2 linked regions of the Oryza sativa Japonica Group genome follow. The protein of the gene in region 1 binds, or shares a complex with, the protein of each later gene. Links are inferred from orthologs where the notes say so. Each region holds a gene or a part of one and is shown on either strand. Other genes may lie near its edges.

Region 1 (5,601 bases):
TGAAGGTCTTTTAATTTGTTTATTTAGTAGTATTAAAATTAGATCAAAATATTTAGTACTCCGTATCTTTTAAGTCACTTCAGTTGTTAGTTTTAAGATTTTGAACGGATCAGATTCCCTTTTGAAGCATCAAATTGACCTGGTTTCACTTAAAATTTAAGTGTTGTGAAACATGATAAATTAGTAAAAGAAATTCTTATATTGTGATATAGAATTTGATTTATAGCAATTCTTATACTGGTACTTTAATTTTTCTTTCGCTTTTACGCTGTTGTACGGGATACCATTCCGAAACAACACGATAAATATCAAGTCTTATACTATATGCATAAAAAGTACCGAATCTGATTGATATTGAGGTACCAAGCAAGATACATATGACTGAGCATCGCTAGTTCATCGATGCCTCGATGCATCCATTTTGTAAAAAGCATGCCCCGGTCTTTTGCTACCATTCTTGGACGACGGAAACAAGTTCCCTTATCATCGAACCACGGTGAAGAAGCATGTCTACCGATATCAGCACAAGACAAGTATGAAGCCAACGAAGACACTGCATGTTGGTTAATGCCGTGCAGCATTGAGCTTGTTGGCAAGCATCCTGTTGCACATTGGGACTAGTGGTGAAGGACAAGAGCAACATGCGCTCGTAAAACGACTCCTTTACTGCAACATTGCATGTCGACGAGGTTATCCCTAACATCGACTAGTGCGGCTACCTTCGCAAGAAGGTGCCAGCCATGCTAACGAAGTTGCCCCCGACACGGATTGGATACAATCCACCTTGCACCATAAAGTCGCCCACATCCGCGAGCCTATTGGAGGCGCAACCAGTAACAACACCAACTAGTTGTAACCATTCACATATGATATAGTCCAAACCAAAGAGGATGGCTCCAACACGGATTGGTGGTATAAGCAGGATTTCTTTGATTAAGATGATTGTGAAAGCTTGTCGAGGCTGTAATTGATTCATGGGCTAGCAATCGAAGGAGCCCATACTTGTTTCGTGCATATCTCTTTTCTCATGAACGGGTTGAGAAATAGGAGAAGTTGTACACATGCTGCTAACTTGCTCGAAGTAGGAGAGGTCTTGTCAGGTGTATGGCGTGTGTATCCCGTTCCAGCTTTTTCTTTGCAGGAGTTTTATTTTAATTTATAATCAAATTTTTTAAAATTGTTTTCCAAATTCCACTTGAAGTCTGTTTTTCTGTTTTCCTAATTCCGCTTGAAGTCTATCCTCCTCCGTATTTGATAAAATGTTGGAGAGAAATTTGTAGGGCTGAAATGCAACTTTATTTGTTGATCCCGATCATCTCTAATCCAAACCGAGCTTATTCTGTGCACGGACGATTTTAAATTTCTGCTCATCACTCATCAGCAGTACAACTCACAAAAAGAGGAACCAATGTCCCACCTGGTGGTGGTCCCGGGCTTCGCTTTCTCTGCGATTCACGCCACCTACAGTGGGCCACACCAAAAAAAATCGCATCCCCACCTCGAAACTCCCGGTCCCACCTAGCAGTCACACAACCCTCACCCTTTTTCAAAAAAGATTCCTCTCCCCGCCCAAAATTACGACCAAATTCAGCACAAATCCAAAACCGAAAAATTACAAAACGAGGAGAGAGAAACGAAACGAAACCACTTCGCCTCCCTCCGCAAAATCCCCCAAACCAAACCCCCCCCCCCCCCCCGCTCGGTGGAATCGGTTGCTCGAACCCTAGCCCCTCCAATGGACGACCACCAAACCCAGGATCTCGTCAAGGAGCTCGTCCACCGCCTCATCTCCGCCGAATCCGGCGGCGGCGGGAGGGATGCGGGGGGCGCGCTGCGGTTCGCGCACCGGCTGCTCTCGAGCCGCCTCGCGCCAGCCGTCCTCCCCGACGAGCACGCGCTCGCGGAGTCCGTCAAGCGCCGCCTCGCCGCGTCGGGCCGCCCCGACGACGCGCTCGCCTTCGCCGACCTCCACGCCAAGCTCTCCGCCAGGTCGCGCCCGGCGTCGCTCTGGCCGCTCCTCTACCTGCTCGACTCGCTCTCCTCCCACCGCCGCGCCGCCGCCGCCGCGTCCTGCCTTCCCAACCTCCCCACGGCCGCGCCCCCGCGCGCCGCGGGCTCGGGGGCGGCGGCGGCGGCGGCGGCGGCAGGGGGGAAGCCGGCCTCGCGGGCGCCCGGGGCCCCGCCCGGCGGCGTGGTGCTGGTCTCCAAGGATCCCGACAACATCCGCGAGATCGCGCTGCGGGAGTACACCGAGCTGGTGCTCGACGAGACGGAGGTGTCGGAGGCGGCGCTCGTGCGCGACGTGCTGTACGCGTGCCAGGGGATCGACGGCCGGTACGTGCGGTTCGACAAGGGCAGCGACGCGTACGACCTCCCCGACGGCGTCCGCGTGCCGCGCTCCACGCGCACCCTGGTGCGCAAGCTATGCGAGCTGGGGTGGCTGTTCCGCAAGGTGCGGGGGTTCATCTCCGACAACATCAGTCGCTCTCCCTCCGATGCTGCCACCGAGGTCGGCACCGTTGCTCAGGCCTTCTGCTCCGCTCTACAGGAGGAGCTCTCTGATTACTATAAGCTCCTCGCCGTTCTCGAGTCTTACTCGCTGAATCCGATTCCTACGCCTGGATCTGATTCAGGGGTGTCTGGTAATTACCTCTCTCTGCGGCGTCTTGCAGTTTGGCTAGCTGAGCCTGCGGTGAGGATGCGCCTAATGGCGGTTTTGGTTGATGGATGCCGGGGTTTGAGAGGTGGCGCAATGGCTGGTGCGATCCATGGGCACGCACAGCATGGGGATCCCACCTTCCAGGATTTTATGGGCCGCTTGCTGCGGCGGGTGTGCTCACCGCTGTTTGAAATGGTCCGAAGCTGGGTGTTAGAAGGGGAGTTGGAGGATGTGTTTGCAGAATTCTTCATTGTTGGGCAGCCAGTCAAGGCTGAGTCTCTGTGGCAGGAGGGCTATCTTCTTCAGTCTGATATGCTTCCAGCTTTCATTTCTCCAGTACTGGCGCAAAGGATTCTTAGAACCGGGAAGTCAATCAACTTTCTTAAAGTTTGCTGTGATGATAATGGTTGGGCAGATGCTGCTACTGAGGCTGCTGTCTGTGTTGGCACCACAACTAGTCGAGGTGGGCTTGGTTATGGGCAGATTGATGCTTTGGAGGCACTAGTGGTTGAAGCAGCCAAGAGGATTGATCGGCATTTGATGGATGTGATCCATAAGCGGTATCGATTCAAAGATCATTGTCTTGCGATTAAGAGGTATTTGCTTCTTGGGCAGGGTGACTTCGTCCAGTATCTGATGGATGTTGTTGGCCCTGAGTTGTCAGAGCCAGCAAATAGGATTAGCTCCTTCCATTTGGCTGGGTTGCTTGAGACTGCGATCCGAGCATCTAACGCTCAATATGATGACCGTGACATCTTGGATCGCATAAAGGTAAAGATGATGGATCATGGAGATGGTGATCGTGGCTGGGATGTGTTTTCCTTGGAGTATGATGCTAGGGTTCCTCTGGATACGGTATTCACAGCTTCTGTCATGAAGAGGTACCTCAAGATTTTTAACTTCCTGTGGAAGCTTAAGCGTGTAGACCATTCATTGACTGGAATCTGGAAGACAATGAAGCCTAACTGCATTGTTTCATCTCCATTTTACAAGGAGGGAACAAACATCAGGTCTCAGTTTGTTTCAGTTCTTCGCAAATGCCAAGTTCTATTTAATGAAATGAACCACTTTGTGACCAACTTCCAGTACTACATTATGTTTGAGGTCCTGGAAGTTTCCTGGGCTCGTTTCTCAGAAGAAATGGATTCAGCAAAGGATTTAGATGATCTTCTGTTGGCACATGATAAGTATCTCACATCGATTGTGGAGAAGTCTCTCCTTGGTGAGAGATCACATGGAATTCTGAGGAATCTTTTTGCACTTTTTGACATCATTTTGCAATTCCGGAGCCATGCTGATCGGTGGTTTGAGCGGATATATGAGTTGCAACTGAGGTTAGATTGTTGCATAATTAACCAATGCCATCTCTCTCCATCTTATTACATATATGCTGTTTGATTTACCTCTTCTTTTTTTTACTGCAGGGGAAAGGGTAAGCCAAAATCAAAAGCAAAAGCTAAATCCAAGGAAGTGGATTCATGGGTGGATGGTGGGAGGAAAGCCATGATTCAGCTGGCTGGGGAACTTTTCCGGAAAATGGGTGAAGATTTGGATAGCATCGCGAAAGATTATACTTCTTCACTTGATGCATTTATCGCTCAGTTACCTATGCAACAGCATGTTGATTTGAAATTCCTACTCTTCCGCTTAGACTTCACTGAATACTACAGTCGTGTTTCGTCTAACAAATGAAGATGTGTTCCTGATGTGGAAAAAGTAGGGAGTTAGATTTACTCTTTGGTTTGGGGTTTGTGAGGCATTCTTTTGTACACCTTAGCCCTGCTGATTGATATTTGGTCATTTGAAAGGCATGGTCTGCCACTTTCATTTGTCCTGAACCTCCTGTTGAATTCACCCTTTAAGGTAACTTCTAGGGCCAATACAACTATCCTCATTTTATATGTGTTTCCCGATGGTAGAAGTGTTTATGTTGATTATTTGGTTTTTCTGCAGAGTTTGCCCACGCATGCCATGAAGTTGGAGGCTTGCTGCCATGCATTCTGAACAACTATAGTGTACAAAATTGATGTAAGTTTACTTTGGTTTTCACTTTTAGATGAACTGGTGTACATTTCATGCACACATTTTCCACCCTGATTTTTTAGAGTTGCATTGTGTGGGGGCTTCTCCTTACCAGTTTGTATTCTTCGGTTACAGGAGAATGAAAAATCTCATTTTGCTAGTTGCTGTTCTTTATCTGGTCATCAAAATTGTTGTTAAGTAATTCAGGATGCCTATAATTCGTTTGTTTGTATGAACCGTATCATTCGTTTCCAATCTCAAAATGGCTGTGCGAAAAGTCTGCACATAATGTGAGTTATTCGAGTCCAATATAAGAGTGCTGATTGCACATGGTGTGGGAACCTTCTGCCAATCTTAATTTCATAAGGAGACATAGACTCGGTTCTTTCGCTCAAAATTTTCTACATTGGGAGTTCAGTTACACAAATATTCATCATGTGAAGAAACCACAGCTCATTTGAATGGCTTCGACTGCAGTTTACCTGCTTGCATTACGGTTGCAACTCTTTCTTCAAGTTTGTACTAGTAATTCAACCTACTTTGCTGTCTTTTGTGGGTTGCTCATGTTGTGCACCTGGCTGCCGGCTTGTACATCAGATATAGTTCTACGTTCTCTTGCCTGATAACCTGTGGAGCCCGATCTTTTTTTCTTTTCGGTTCGAGGCAGGTTGCGTCGCGGATGGACGGAAACACTTGTTCTGCACTTCTGCCACGTGTTCGAAGCGTGGCGGTTTTCATCGCTTGTTCTTTTTTTTTTTTTGAGGGATCACTTGTTCTTTGCCATCGGGTGAACGTATTGTGGCTGAGGAGGCAGAAACTTTCTTTCTGGTCTTCCAAACAAATAAAAAAAAAGCAGAAACTTTCTCGTCCACGGATTCCATTAACTTTGATCCCGTTTCTTCCGTTGGTGCTGGAGAGTG
Region 2 (5,925 bases), on another chromosome or scaffold:
GGGGGTGGGAGATGCGATAGAGATGGAGTGTGTTAAGATTTGAGAACCAGATTTTCCCCTCTCAAGTTTTTCGGATCCCAAACTGTTTTTTTTTTCCTCCCCTTTTCCCTCCTCCCCTCTCGCAGCTATTCGTTCGGATGTCATCTCGACGACTCTCGCTGGGGTTTGGGTTGGGCCTTTGGGCCAAAATCGAAAGGCCCGTCAACCGATTGATTGCGTTAACTGAGTTATAAAAAAACAAGATTCAACCACAATGGCACAGTATAACACAACAATGTTTGTGAAAAAAATATATTAGTGTGCATATCGTTAGCTTTCCTACCAGCCTACTAATAAAATTTTACGTCGTTTGGAAAAAGCTAAAAATGTTTTGCGGCATTGAGGTTCCATATTTGAAAGTGCAGAAATTGAGAGATGATTTGATTGTTAAAGTTGTTTTGAGGATCCCTGTTATCTTGGCTCTTAAAAAAGCTGGGTCAATCTGAGGAACGATCTATGTTCTTTAAATAAAGTTATTTGAGGGTTATTAAGACATCCAATACATGTGGTGGGAGATGTGTGAGATATATAAAATGACTCTGGTCTCTATATAAGGTTTATAATCATATACTATGAAATCTATTACTCTGTCTGATCAAATTTATTTGACATAAGTCGGGTATTTCTAGCTAGATGGGTATTGTATTTGTCACATACAAACATATCTGGACAACCAGGCGAAGTGACTTTTTACAGAGCCGCTCATATCGTATAGCACATAATATGTTCATATGTGGTAGATTTAGACCACGGGTAACTTAGAGAAAAGATATAAGAGAAAAGAGAGAGGAATACATTTGTGAATATAAAAACAACTGATTAACATGGCATGTGAAAATCAGTTTGTTGATGTTGCGTTACAGAGGAACAAATAACAGCGTAGTATAAAAAATTGTTGCGATGCGGTTTCTTGCATAACATGGAGCCCAAACAAATACTAGGTTTATTATACAAAATAATCAGTAAACATTTTGAATTTAAAATAAAAAAAGAACATCTACACCCATGCTTTCTCGAGTACCCCTACACTTATCTACTTAACATGTGCTTTCTCTATTAGATCTAAGATTTGAACTTAAGAAACACATAAAAAGACAATCAGATGATATAGCATATACCGAAAAAGTTATTGATAATTGGGTAGTCTACTATAATAAACCTTTGATTAAAATATCGGATATCGCTAACTCAATCCTTTGTTTGGAAAAATGGCATGATATATCGAAGAAAATTACATGAGGCCGGTCCTAATCTTCTGGATGGCATGTGGTGCTTGAGCTAAGTCATCAGCGCTATATTTGATCTGATGATGTTGGCAAAAGTGGCAAACACGTTGTTGGTGACCAACAAGGGAGAAACCGGGGAAAAGAGGAACATGGCGAGAAAGATGAGGAAAAACGTGGAAGAAGGATGACTAGAAAGATAACCCAGCATGAACAATTAATTAATACGATGGATGTGGAAATCACAGAGGAATTTCTTCTTCGTTACCCAATGGATCAGATTTAATCATGATTTGATTGGGTAGTTTAGGATATGCCAAATATTGTCCCCACCTGTGTAGTAATCTACAACTATATTCACCTGTAAGCGTAGAATCCATTTTTTTTCAAGGAACAATGCATTGAAGTGATAAACAATATAGATTGATTCAGGGAACATATGGCACATCCTTTTGCACAAGGGGAACAAATTATTGGGACAAAACGACCTAGAGGATGAGAGAATATCAAACTCTTCCTTATTCCTTTAGCTATTATTAACAACACATTATATGGGGATGACTATGACTCCTAGTCGGTATGCATCATCCGACAAAAGTGCATTTTCATTCGATGGATTGATTCATCGCCCAAGCTAACCATGGAGCTATGGTTTCTTGGCAAACCGCCCTTAGAGACCCGCAGGGGGGGGGGAGGGGGGATATATCGGATATATGAAGTGACTAGAGTAGACCAAGTCTATTAGCGATACTTTGAACTATAACTTTATTAATGCCGAAAGCAAAAGATAAAATAGCAAACTATCCTGATCAAGTACCATATGAAAAGAACATTGCAAGCCAAGTCATGCCAATCTAAGGAGCGCAAACAAAGTACGAAGATCACGGTATATACGAGCACTCCCTACAGAAATAAAGCAAACTTTATGAAATAATTAGGGCATATGACTCATTGAGATTTTAAGTCAAGCAAGTAGCTAGACTAGACTAATCTAGATAGCTTACCATATTTATATCTTATCTTACTGAAATAATGCACAATAATTAGGGAAAAAGTAATATTACAAAGGACAAGATTTATATACTTAATACCGTTGAGCACTGAAGAAAGAAATAGAAAGGGTGCAAGGGTTACAGGAGAGTGTGAACATGTAGCTAAGGGATTTCTCATAAATGTAAAAGCATTTTTGTTCTTAAAAATGTATAAAAACCATTTCCCATCTTACAATTTGTGATTGCATTTTTTGGAAAAAAAAAAGAGAAGGAATCCACAAAAGTGCCCAACACAAAGCTTCGACCATTGCCGTCCCAAGCGTTCAAATTTTCCACCTCGAGGCCTACGGGCGGCCTGTACGATTTACCTGTTGGTTCGGTCGCTCCGTTCCTCCGGCTTCCGCCTTTCCTCGTCGCGGCTATACGGCTATTATACCTACCAGCCACCACACCACCCTTCTCCCACACTTCTCCACTGACTCCTCGAGATGGATCCCGCGCCGGCGACCCCTCGCTGGAACCTGGAGCGGCCGTACCTCACCGGCCGCTTCCATCAGGTACGCCTCCCTTCTCTCCTCCTCCTCCTCCTCCTCCCCTGTCTCGGCTGCCCCCATTGCCGCCTCCGCCTCATCCACCCTCGCGCTCTCTCTCTCGCAGGAGGCCAAGGTGGCTGCGGCGGCGCAGGGGGCCGGATCCAAGCCTTACTCCCTCGACTCCTTCAGGTGATTCGCCGGTTAAAATTTCGCGCGATTTTTTTTTTGGTGCTCGCCTCGTGGTTTTTCTGATGCCCCGGAGTTCGTTTGAATCTGCAGCCGCGGCGGCGGCGGCGGCGGCGGCGCTGAGAGTGTCATCGGATCGTACGCCGTCTCAGTGCAGGTACCGGTAGCTTGTACTTTTAGGTTGTTTAGCTGGCTTAATTGGCTTCGAGCGACTACTTTTTTAATGGACCGATGCTAGGGTTTAGGTTCCGGTTCCGCGCTTCTACTTCGAGCTCAATGGTTCGGGTTAATTGGAAGAATTCGTCGTGTTTTTTTTCTCTCTACATGTGCATGAACTGTAAATTGTTGTTAACCAGAGTCTGGATTGGAGCTAGGAATGTTATTGAACACTGTATTTTGATTTTTTGGACTGCCTACTTCCTTGAATTCAGAAAACAATATTATGTAACGGTGCTAGGTTAGAATTTTCTTTTGATATTTTGGTTCATGTGGTCAATGTAGTGTGAGTAGATATAATTTCAGATAATAAAATATTTTGTTACATAACTCGAATCTTCTGTTTGAATTTGAGTGATTCTCAGAGTTTGTTGGTCGGTGGTGTTCATGACATACTGACATGCCGTGCTAAGTACAACATATTTGTTGTAACAATGTCACAAAATAGCTGCATTTTCACTATGTTGCTTTAAGCAGCTATTCTATGAGGCTCAATATTGTAATATCTTCATTTTGCACATCTTTAAAATTATCTGAAGTAATTTAGCTTTCACAAACAACTGAAAAGTGTAACTCCAACCTATCTGTTATTGATTTGCAGGAGCTTTTGGTCATTGATGATTTGTTATCAGCTCTTGTGGGTATTGAGGGACGATACATTTCGATTAAGAGAGTACGGGGAAAGGAGGGGTATGTTGTCTTCCAGATTGATTCTTCAATGGACCTTGCACTCCAGGTAAGGCCTGAAGAGTACAACAACTGGATCATGAATTGCCTCCAAAAAGGCAGATGCGTTTGGTACTTAACTCTTTGGGTTTTTGCAGGAATTAACTCGTCGGATTTTTCCCTTATGTGAGGATTTTGTCTTGGTATACCATTTTGTGGAGTCCAGATCACATTTCAAGAGTGGCCTGGTCAACCATGCTCTAGCTGCAGCATTGAGGGCATTCCTCTTGGTAAACTCCCTCTTTCGAGCCAGGAATATTTTAATTAATTTGCCTTGACTACAAGCTTTCTTATGTTTGGAAAAGGTGGCAAAAACGAATATACTAACAATTTCATATTATATAGTAAAAACAGTAATGCCTGAATCATGAGTTCAAGTGTTCAGTTGTTTATTCTGACATGGAAACATTTGCATAAATTGTATTGGTAGAGAGTAATCTTATTACATTATCCTTAAATTAAAAGAAGGCCTATGTTTTCCAGTATTGGTCCTCATATGTGTATTTGGCACGAAGTTAAGTGTTTTATTTGTTTATCAGGATTATCAGGCAATGGTTGCTCAACTGGAGCACCAGTTCCGTCTTGGGAGACTGTCAGTTCAAGGATTGTGGTTCTTTTGTCAGGTGAGTTTTATTTACTGCATTAATTATTTATCCTGATTTGATTATCATTTTAAGCACAGCAAGTCCTGATGTGCTTTTTGGCAGAGGATGATGAGTTCATTGAACGCACTTGCTGTTCTAGTCGAGAAAGCTATCTCCAATAACACCAGTGGTTCTGCTACACTTAATCTACTTCAAAGTCAGGTATTTCACCTCTGAGATACATTTTTTTTCTTTTGCATCTCTCTTTCTCCAAGTACGAGAATCTGGTGGGTATGAATATCGTTTTCAGTAGGCTCCTGCAATCCAAGCTGAACAGACTGGTTTTCTTATCGGCATAACATATTTCTTTAACATAGCCGATTTCTCAACATTCAGTTTTTTGTTGCCTTTTCATTCTGGTCCACATGATTAGCTCTTTCATCCATGTATTAAATTGCTGTACTCCTTTCAACATAGGCAAAGGCAATGGCTGGCGATAGTGCTGTTCGATCATTACTGGAGAAGATGACAGAGTGTGCAAGTGCAGCGTATCTTAGGATGTTAGAAAGGTTCATCATGTTCATATCTTATTGTCTTTGCTACTTATCGGTTCTTACATTTTGTGTTGAAGTTAACAAGCATTTTGTAATTGCCAGTTCTTAATTGGATTGTAGTGTTAAGACTTAAGACTTGTTTAGATTAAAAACTTAATTAGCTTGTCTGCTGTATTTTGATAATTTCAGCTTCTAATGGGCTTCATTTTAGGTGGGTCTATGAGGGCGTTATAGATGATCCTTATGGTGAATTCTTCATTGCTGAAAACAAATCCTTGCAGAAGGTACCGAATGACTTAGAATTTCTGGCCTACTTAAATTCCATCGTTCTCTGCATTTTCATAAGACTAGAATACTGGGTTTGTTATATTCTTAAGATAATCAGAGGCTTTCTTTGATTTTGATAGGAGAGCCTTACTCAAGATTATGATGCTAAATATTGGCAGCAAAGATACAGTCTAAAAGATGGCATCCCTAGTTTCCTTACCAATGTTGCCGCCACAATACTGACAACTGGAAAATATCTTAATGTTATGAGAGAATGTGAGTACACTGTCCAGGTATGCATGATTATTTTCTGTGGTTGCATCACTAGATGCTATTTTATATGTGTGTGTTATAAGAACACACTTGTCTTACATACTATGCTTAGGTTCCCTTGTCAGAGAGTTCTAAGCTGATGGGCTTTGGTTCAAACCACCAATATCTTGAATGCATCAAATCTGCGTATGACTTTGCAAGTGGTGAACTCTTGACTCTAATGAAAGATAAGGTTACAATTGTTCATAGCAAATGCACTATTAGATTTCATTTTCTTCTGTGGTCTGGATTCTAATTTTGTTTTATTTACCGTGTAGTATGATCTCATTGGG

What was found. Proteins that work in one complex are often made in the same cells at the same time.
Region 2: gamma-tubulin complex component 3 (region 1) and gamma-tubulin complex component 2 share a complex: the UniProt entries of both Arabidopsis thaliana proteins name them as parts of the gamma-tubulin complex. The link is inferred for Oryza sativa Japonica Group from reciprocal best matches to the Arabidopsis thaliana genes SPC98 and AT5G17410.

The regions. Positions count from the first base shown.
Region 1 is NC_089043.1:21,011,804-21,017,404, forward strand, and holds gamma-tubulin complex component 3, read left to right. Parts: upstream 1-1,704; 5' UTR 1,705-1,735; coding exon 1,736-3,993; intron 3,994-4,083; coding exon 4,084-4,351; 3' UTR 4,352-4,522; intron 4,523-4,612; 3' UTR 4,613-4,841; downstream 4,842-5,601. UniProt on the Arabidopsis thaliana protein: Gamma-tubulin complex is necessary for microtubule nucleation at the microtubule organizing centers (MTOCs). Required for the positioning of the gamma-tubulin-containing complex on pre-existing microtubules and for the proper organization of cortical arrays.
Region 2 is NC_089038.1:25,543,203-25,549,127, forward strand, and holds the start of gamma-tubulin complex component 2, read left to right. Parts: upstream 1-2,649; 5' UTR 2,650-2,742; coding exon 2,743-2,811; intron 2,812-2,911; coding exon 2,912-2,976; intron 2,977-3,066; coding exon 3,067-3,130; intron 3,131-3,790; coding exon 3,791-3,925; intron 3,926-4,013; coding exon 4,014-4,145; intron 4,146-4,454; coding exon 4,455-4,538; intron 4,539-4,622; coding exon 4,623-4,721; intron 4,722-4,976; coding exon 4,977-5,068; intron 5,069-5,264; coding exon 5,265-5,337; intron 5,338-5,460; coding exon 5,461-5,613; intron 5,614-5,705; coding exon 5,706-5,825; intron 5,826-5,910; coding exon 5,911-5,925. UniProt on the Arabidopsis thaliana protein: Gamma-tubulin complex is necessary for microtubule nucleation at the microtubule organizing centers (MTOCs). Required for the positioning of the gamma-tubulin-containing complex on pre-existing microtubules and for the proper organization of cortical arrays.